Canis lupus familiaris: one gene and its partner. The protein of the gene in region 1 interacts with the protein of each later gene in a biochemical or structural test. Links are inferred from orthologs where the notes say so. Each region holds a gene or a part of one and is shown on either strand. Other genes may lie near its edges.

Region 1 (4,083 bases):
CTCCTGAGTGCAGACTGTATGTAACGTGTGTCTGGTCCCCACAGCCCCTCAGGGATTCTTTCGCACACACAGCATTTCATAAGTGACCTGCTCACTAGAATGGATGGGCATCTGGGAACCCTGGCCAATGTGAGCACATGGCCAAATGAGGATGGGATGGTCCTGTGTCCCCAGTCTCAGCCCCCAACCCCCGGCCTCTCAGCATTATCACCAGATCAGCCTTCCCTGGCTGGGCTCCGAGCTGTCTCTGGCGCCTGCAAAGCCAGTGCACTGCCCATCAGTTCGGAAGATGAGTCCCTGTGTGGTCCTGGGCCTGGCACAGAAGGCCACCTTCCTCTGTTTTATCTGTTCACCTATGTCTTACTTCTCTTTCCAAGCCCACCTTAAAAATCAGGTAAAATTCTCCTCCATGCTTGTAGCACTTCACCTCTATGTTGCCTCTGAGGGTTCACTGAACCCTTTTATCTTATTTTTTAAAAAAATTTTATTTATTTGAGAGAGAGAGACTGAGTGAGCATGAGCAGGGGGAGGGGCAGAGGGAGAAGCAGACTCCCCACTGAGCAGGGAGCCCAATGCGGGGCTCGATCCCAGGACCTTGGGATCATGACCTGAGCTGATGGCAGATGCTTCACCCACTGAGCCACCCAGGCCCCAACATGGAACCCCTTTAATTATGAATCATCTTCCTGACATTCTGGCTTCACCATAGTTCAGCTCAGCCTAACAGAGGCCCAACACATGCCTGAATGAATATGAATGTTCAAAGTGGATTCTTCAATCTTTTTTTTTAAGTAACCTCTATACCTGATGTGGGGTTTGAACTCACAACCCCAAGATCAGGAGTCACAACTGACTCTCCCAACTGAGCCTCTAGGTTCTTTAATCTTTAATGTCTATTAAGAAAGGGTAGAAATTATTTCAGTGTAAGATGTAACAAGAAGAAATTAAGTGAAGCCAAAGAGGACTGTTTTTTCTCTGGGTAAGATAATCTTTTGAGGAATCAGAATGTATCTGTTTCATTAAAAACGAAGAGGCACCCAGCCCTGCATCCTCCACACTCACTTTGACTACCCCCCACCCCTTGAACTGCTCAGCCACGGATGTCAGCTTTTGTGACTTTCCTGAGTTTGGGATAACTATTATATGAATCCATTCATTCCCTGTGCTCCCTACACACACACACACCACACACACACACACACACACACACACACACACACACACACAGCTACGTTCTAGCTCATAGGCCTCCAGGAAACCCCAGGGGATGAAAGTGAGTCATGGAACCTGTTTTCCTGTGGGGTCATGGTGCGTGGCACGGAGCTGGGGTCGACAGATCCTGTGGTGAAGGAGCAATGCTCCTACTGGCCATGCAGTCAGCAAGTCCCAATGTGCTCGACAAACTACACATGGGTGCTTTGTTTCTAAGAAGAAAATCTAATTTCTTCCTCACAGATATTCACATTTTAGTTTCACGTGAGGAGCTATTCTCAGCCTTACACAAGAATGTCCGTTCAGGTGGAACGAGAATTAATTATGCTCAGGTGTGAGAGGAAGCATGCAGCCTGTACCAGAAGATTCCCCCTTTCGCACGGCACCCGGCACGTGTGGACTGCATTACGCACGTTCTGGGGAGGACGTGCTCCCTTGGATCACAGCCACGGATGCTGCCAAGGAAACCGTGCTCTCAGACTGGAAGCATTTCCACTATTTGTGTAACAGGAGTGGCCAAGCACCTCGAGTACATCTAGCTGACTGTAGGTGACTGTCTGGGTTACTGAGCGGCAGGAAATTTGATTGAGGCAGAGTCTAGGCTTAGGAAGAGTGCTGCGATTGATTAGTGATGCCTACAAAAGGCGCAGTATAGAGAGTGGTGGTATGTGCGCCAAATATACTACTGTCTGTGATCTAGAGATGATATCCGGGAGGAGTCTGTCTTAGTAACTTGGGGGTTCAGAGCCTGAGTGCAAGCCCATGCCTTTTGTATCCATGTCCTCCTCAGCCCGACACCTGGTGCATGTTCCTAATTTGAATGACTGAAAAGCAGTCACGTGTCAGTCACGGATTCATCCATCTAGGTCAACACCATTAGTCACCTTTTCCCACTTTGCAGGTACCTTAATGATGCTCTGGCAGGTGGACAGAGGCAAGCCCACCAGGCTGGTGCCGTTTATGGACATGATCTGGTCCCCGATATTCAGCTTCCCTGATTTCTCAGCAGGGCCCCCATGCATCATGTTGGCTATGATCACGGTTGGCAGGATGGAACCCCAGCCAGACTCCACGATCACCACGCCTAGGATCTCTCCTTTCTGCTTCTCTATAAATACCTGAAAGGAAAAGACAAAGCCAAAAACCCGAATCAGCATCCTCCCAGGGTACATAAATCGAAGCTTTCCCCCACGTCCTGTCCCACCTAAAGAAGAAAGGCATTGCCTTGATGGCTCTGACCCAGACCAGTGCTGTCTTCTCTCGATTCCATGGCATTTGGTAAGAAATGATGTAACAATAGGTTTCTTATAATTCTTGTTTCACATAAGCAGTCATGCCTTGGCTGTATGAACACAAAGGGCGCGGGGTGCCTTTTTGTATAGTCCCCGGGGAGCAGGGAGAGAGGCTGAGTGGGTGGGGACTTCGCGGGTGTGTTAAGGTTTCTGGAAATAGCTTTTGGATTCTATGCACAGGCTGCCCTACTGCACAGCGCTTCACAAATTCTCTCCAACATTTAAGATTCTGGAGTTAAAAATAAACAAATAGATGTTACAGAAACATTTCTTTGCAGGGAGTAAGCTGAAGAAAAATGAAAAAAAAAAAAAAAAAAAGGATGCTAGGGTTAGTGCAACCAAAAAGGTTGGAAGTGCAAGTAGCAAGACCACGTTCTAGATGGGCTTACTTCTGTGTGGCTTCCTCGGCAGGGCAGAGAAGACAGGAGTCAGTTTTGGCTACTGGCAGTGTGGGAAGGTTTGCAGGGACACCACCAAGGGGCAGGACACCTTTTGAAAGCCTCTGACAAAGAGTGTGTATATGTATTTATTTATTCATATTCACCAATACACGTACACTCAAACACACACCGTGGTGGCGGCTGCTGGGGCCTGACACGGCCCCTCACAGGCTGGTGGCCCTTCTCTCACAGCCAGCCACTCCGCGGGGGAGCTGCCCAGTGGGAGACACTCCCATTATGGGTGGTGGAATTATGTTCCCCTTGAAATTCATACGTTGGAGGCCAAACTCCCAGGACCTCAGGATGGGACCTTGTTTGGATACAGAGTCTTTACAGAGGCAGTGAAAGTAAAGTGAGGTCATTATGGTGGGCCACCACTCAGGTGGCGGGTGTCCTCACAGGAAGGGGGGGGGGTTGGCTGCAGACACATGCACAGAGGGAAGCCCATGTGAAGACACAGGGAGAAGGCCGTTCTCTCCCAGCCAGGGTAAGGGCCTGGAATACACCCTTCCCCCCACAGCCCTCCGAAGGAACCGACCCCTCAGTCTGCAGGACTGTGCTAAGGCAGCCCGAGCACACTGCCCCTGCCCCGTGTAGGTGGTGTCCATGACTGCCTGGCATGGGTTCGAAGGCCTACCGACTCCTCTGCCCAACAGAGGACATTCGTGAGCCAAGAGATCACTTTCTCCTAAAGGTCCTTTTGTCTACTGGATAAAACCCAAGCCCCTCGGCTAGACTTCCAAGCCCCTGGTTCTGACCTGAGCCCTGTGTTGGCCTCTCTGCACCCTCTCCCGCATCCCCAGTGCTCCACTGTGCATGGCTCCCCAGACAGTTCCTGAGCTTTCTGACCTTCAACGCTTCTGTTACTTTGGCCCAGCCCTCTCGAATCCTTCCTGCTTTCTGAAGACTACCTGGACCCCCAGACCACCTTAGATGGCTGCGTTCTCCTCCAAAGTTCTGTCTGAAGCCACAGGGCCACCCCAGGAGCAGCGCAGCACCTGTCACCCGAGCCCTGACACCTGCTCCACTCTGTTCTAACAGCTGTCTCTGACTCGTGCTCATGCCTGGCACTGTCACTTAACTTTTCTGTGCCCTTTCCTAGATAGTGGGCTTGGAAAGGGCGGGCTTTAGGTCCTGTT
Region 2 (4,845 bases), on another chromosome or scaffold:
GTGCACCTAATCCCTGAGCTACTCCTGGTTTAGAGTGCTGTCCCACAAAAGGTTTCACATTGGCAGGCTTGGGTAGTCTTGGGCTGACTCAGTGGAGAACAGATTTGCTCATGGTGAATCAGCTGTAAATAAAGCAAGAAGGTCTTTGTATTCACCTGGGAGACTAACCTTTAATTTTCTTTACTTATATTCAGTTCTCTCTGACTTTAACGTTGGTATTCAAGATTGACTCATGTTTTAATATGAAGACTTGTCCAGAAGAATTATTGGTGCTATTTTAACACTTCAAAAGCGCTTATGCTGAAAAACATTTAAAAATCTAAAAAACTGCTTGTGCTGGTTGATGGTCACTTGCCCACACACTGAATAGCAGCCTAATTGGTAAACACATACACTTGTTCTTTCAAACAAGATGAAACATATAAAGCACCTTCATAGTAAGTAGACCTTGCTTCCTTCCAAAAATTAAAAAAAAAACTAAGTATTAAAGAATAAAACAAAAATTAGGAAATGAATTTTTCTCCTTCTCAAATATATATTATTGCAAATCATACAAGTGATACTAACAAGAAATTATTCAATGCAATTTTAATGATATGAGGGCATTTAATTGCATTTTTGACACTTTAAGAACTGTCAACTCAATATATATGGTAATCAAGATCTCCAACTTTAATATTTAAATAATACCTAATAATTTAAAATTTTATAAGTTCTTTAAGTTTTTCAAATGTTTAGAAGAGCATTTAACTACATCATAAACAAACCAAAGCTGAGAGAATACAGAGCCAGGGTTGAAATTTTAAGTGTTAGTCAGAGACCCAGCCAAAGCTAAGCACCCTTGAATGTTCTGCTCTACTCAGGTCTCTCTGCCCTTCACTAAAAAGATATATAACAACAACAACAACAAAAAAAGCTATTTAATGTCAATCTGCCTTTTATTGGACTTCAAGAAAACATTCAATCAAATACACAGCAATCATATTCATGTATTATTAACCCCAATACAGGCAGTGTCTTAGAAAGACATGACTGTGTCTAGGCCAGACTTAAGCTCTGCTTTTCTGAAGGGAATGATGCTTCAAGTGATGTGCTTTACATTGTAAGAGTGACCTCTAGTGCCTTCCTTTTTTGTTGAACTTCTGTAGTTGGACGATGAATTACTTATACCTTCTCTACAAAACTTTGTGTGCATGGGTGTGTGTGTGTCTGTCTAGTTATTGTCTGTTTGTTGCAACGCTCGTCAAATGCTACTATTACAGCATTCCAAGATTCTGACCAGGTGAAAATATGCAAATATTCTTGTCTCATGGAATTCTTATACAACCAAATTAAAACTGAATCTGAAACACAGTGCAGCATCTGAGGGATGTTCTCTTCTTCCAGTGATAGATACACTCTGCTATTAAATGAGCTGATACTGCATGGGAACCTGAAATCACAGACATGCAGTGTAAATGGACATTTGACTTGTGCCAGAAAGGTTGTTTATCATGTTTTTTCCACATCAGAGTGCTTTAGTGTGCTCAAGGGATGTGCCATAGCAAATGCCTGACTCCTGGCTTATTTGTATCCCCTAAACCTAAACCTGGTTATACAGTAACAACATAAATTCCTGAACAGGCCTCACAGCCCTTTCTGGAAAAGCAAATGAGCTTTTCTTTTTAAATCAGAGAGAGAGAGATAAAGAGTTGAATGTGCAGAGCTTATTTATCACTCATCGGGGAGGGGAAAATTCTCCCATCTGGGGATTTTTAAGCCAAATATAACTTTTTAAACTTTTTCTATCTCTAATGAAAAGTGGATGAAGAGAGTTCTGCCAAATTATTTTGGATGATACTTAAATAAGAAATGAGGTCTTAATAAATCTTCCCTGAATCAATTAACTTAGACTATTCAATCACAAATATATAAAGTTAAAAATAACACTTTTAAGAATTAACACTTTGAAAAAAATCACCTGAATGTTTTCCCTTTAAGCAAAATGGAGGAATCAAGCCCCCTCTTTCAAGAGTACTTAAATCTTTAGAGAGTGAGGGCACGATTCTTAATACTGGGGTTCACCTCCACCAGTTTTGCTCCTGAATTCTGCAGTGCATTTCAGTTATTAGCCCGGCATCATTTTAAAGATGCAGCCAGCTATCAGTCTGCCAGTGCAAACTTCAGAAATCTAAGCTAATGCAGCATAATGTAAAGTCTGCCAGTTGTTTTCCTGTTAGACATAATTCCAATAAAATTCAGTAATCCTTAAAAAGGAAGAAATGAAGACATTCACAGGCTATTCCCTGGTTAAGATGCTAATTTAATGTTTTACTAGAACTTGAGCTTTCTCAATGAATATTCAAAGACGAGAGGATAAGTGTCTGCTCATGGACAAAAAAAGAAATGACACTTTGCATATTTTGACCAGACCAGGAGGAAAGACATGTGTAAAGCCAGTCATATTTGCAAGATTTTTAAGTGAGGCTTCATTTATAGCAATATGCTCTGCAGCAATTCCAGTTGCAAATAATAATCATAAAAACAACAGAATTAAAGTTTTGCAGAGAGGCCCCCCCCACACACACACACACAACCACCACTGCAAGTTTTAAATCATTTGCTGTATACTTACAGGAATTCCCAGCTATGACCCTGTTCCAATTTTGAGTAGATAACAGAAGTAGCAGCTTGAGGACAGCTCCGGTGATAGACCCCATGTTCACATTTATTAGGCTCCCCCAAAAGATGTTGAGTGGCTCTCCAAGCGCTGTCTAGGTCTTCAGCACCTTTGGGTCTCTCAGTAGCTCTCGTCCTTCCCTCCTCTCTCTCTCTGTATCACACGCACACACAGACACACACACACTCCGCACACAGCCCTGACTCCTCAGTGACAAGCACCCAGCATCTTTCCTAACAAGCATCCAGAGCGGCCAGGCCACGCCCACTCCTCTCCGCGGCGGTCCCCGACGGTGGCCGCGGTCCCTCCTCCAAATTCACAGCGGCGCTCAGAGCCCACCGCGCGCCGCGCCGCTGATGGAAGCTGCACCTGCAGGCGCGGCCTGCTGCTCCGGGCCTCCTCGGGGCTCCCTCCCCGCCCCGCTATTCTCCAACAGTCCTTAACCCTTTCTCCCCTCTGGAGATGTGGGTGAGGGAAGCGGGGGAGGCGGTGGAGCCTCCCGATTTTCCGGAGGTCTTGCCTTTAGCAGATCCAGTCAACACACTGAGCTAATTCCTGAATATCCGGGAGGGCATCCAGGTAAAACTGCGTTGTTTCAAAACAAAAGCATAAAAGACAGAAATAACTAAGCAGTATTGGTAAATTGTAGCTGAAAGTGCCCTTAGGGAAAATACTTGCTGTTGTTTTTCTCTGTTTATATAAAACTATCCTTTTCAGCTATGGAGCCAGGATTTTATTATGGAAATTCCTCACAAGGAAACAGACATTCCTGTTTGGCAGATATTTAGAATCATCTGGTAATAGTCTGCAAGAAATTAACATTTCTTATTTTAGTGCATCAGGAGGACAAATCCACAAATTGAACGCTTTAAATGGATTTATTTTGATGAATGCATCGTGCTGTGAATAGGCAGCTGCATTCTACAAATTCTTTAATAACAATTCCCAAAAGGCCTGAAATGAAGAATGATGGGATTCTGAAAAAGGGGACCCCCCCACACACATGCACACACACCCCAAACCTAAACAACATAAAGATGTAATTCAAATGTTCTAAAGGAGAGAGGAATAAAGTTGAGATCAGAACCTCACCGACTACAGAAAAATTACTCTCCTAATGGCTGATGCATGAATACTGCTATTTCTTGAATAGAATATTTAAAAATTTAAATAACAGTTAATATCACATAATAAATGTATCACATGGTATCATTTAAAGAGGATGAATAATTTCTTTAAAATAAGTGTGAAGATACTCAACTGATAATGTGCTAGACTTCATAAGAATAGGAATCCTAGAGTTCTCAAGCATCTCTTGGTGATTACAAATTAGAAGACATAAGCCTGTAGCAACACTATCCTTGCTATGGATTAAATGAAATAAGGAGAAAAAAAGGACAGATGCATCCTCCTGTATAATCATAAGAGTTAAAGAAATATGTTTGGCTTTCACCTACAAACAAAGCAGAACAGATATTTTTTCTTTTCCTACTTTACAGATGAGAAAAACAAGAACAGAGAATTTAAATACTTTGTAGAGGTCATAGAGTTAGTTAAGTATCGATGATTGGACTTTGTTTTTCTGACTCCAATTTTACTGCTCTCACCCTGGGAATTACTGCCCCTCGCATCAGAATCCACCTCCTCTCTGACCTGTCAATGGTGGCTAAAACTTGAGGCCCCGGGGAAAAATCCAGCAGGGGAAAGAAAGGTCACTGTTTGAGTGTGTACTTGTATTCCTAGGCCTACATCCCTGATTTTGTTATTTTCCAAAATAATATATTAAGCAAAAGCAGATACAAACTGAACATTTCTGTTAGGTAATTATTAAAGGGGATTAAATTTATTGAACACATGCTACTCATTTGTTATCTAATTAAATTATTATAGCAATCTTTGAGGGAACTACCATTATGTCTATATAGCAAAGAGACTGAAACTCAGGGAAGTTAAACAGTCTGCCCAGAGTGCCACAGTGAGTAAGACAGAAGGCTGGACTTGACATTCTGGCCTGCAAAGCTCTAAAATCATTACTTTCAATGACTCCACACTGAGGAACAGGCTCTTGGGCTCCCCAGAGGAGAAAAGTTGTCTTCCTATTAAAACTTTATACTTAAAAATAAATAAATAAATAAATAAAAAATAAAAATAAAACTTTATACTTAATTGTTCCCATAAAACAAATT

What was found. The genes of interacting proteins can lie anywhere in the genome.
Region 2: the proteins of APBA1 (region 1) and CNTNAP4 form a complex in vitro, tested with the Homo sapiens proteins (2 studies listed by BioGRID and IntAct, with this or other methods). The link is inferred for Canis lupus familiaris from reciprocal best matches to the Homo sapiens genes APBA1 and CNTNAP4.

What each region holds. Positions count from the first base shown.
Region 1 is NC_049222.1:88,642,200-88,646,282, reverse strand, and holds part of APBA1 (amyloid-beta A4 precursor protein-binding family A member 1), read right to left. Parts: intron 2,331-4,083; coding exon 2,118-2,330; intron 1-2,117. UniProt on the Homo sapiens protein: Putative function in synaptic vesicle exocytosis by binding to Munc18-1, an essential component of the synaptic vesicle exocytotic machinery. May modulate processing of the amyloid-beta precursor protein (APP) and hence formation of APP-beta.
Region 2 is NC_049226.1:75,320,923-75,325,767, forward strand, and holds the start of CNTNAP4 (contactin-associated protein-like 4), read right to left. Parts: upstream 3,198-4,845; 5' UTR 2,700-3,197; coding exon 2,615-2,699; intron 1-2,614. UniProt on the Homo sapiens protein: Presynaptic protein involved in both dopaminergic synaptic transmission and GABAergic system, thereby participating in the structural maturation of inhibitory interneuron synapses.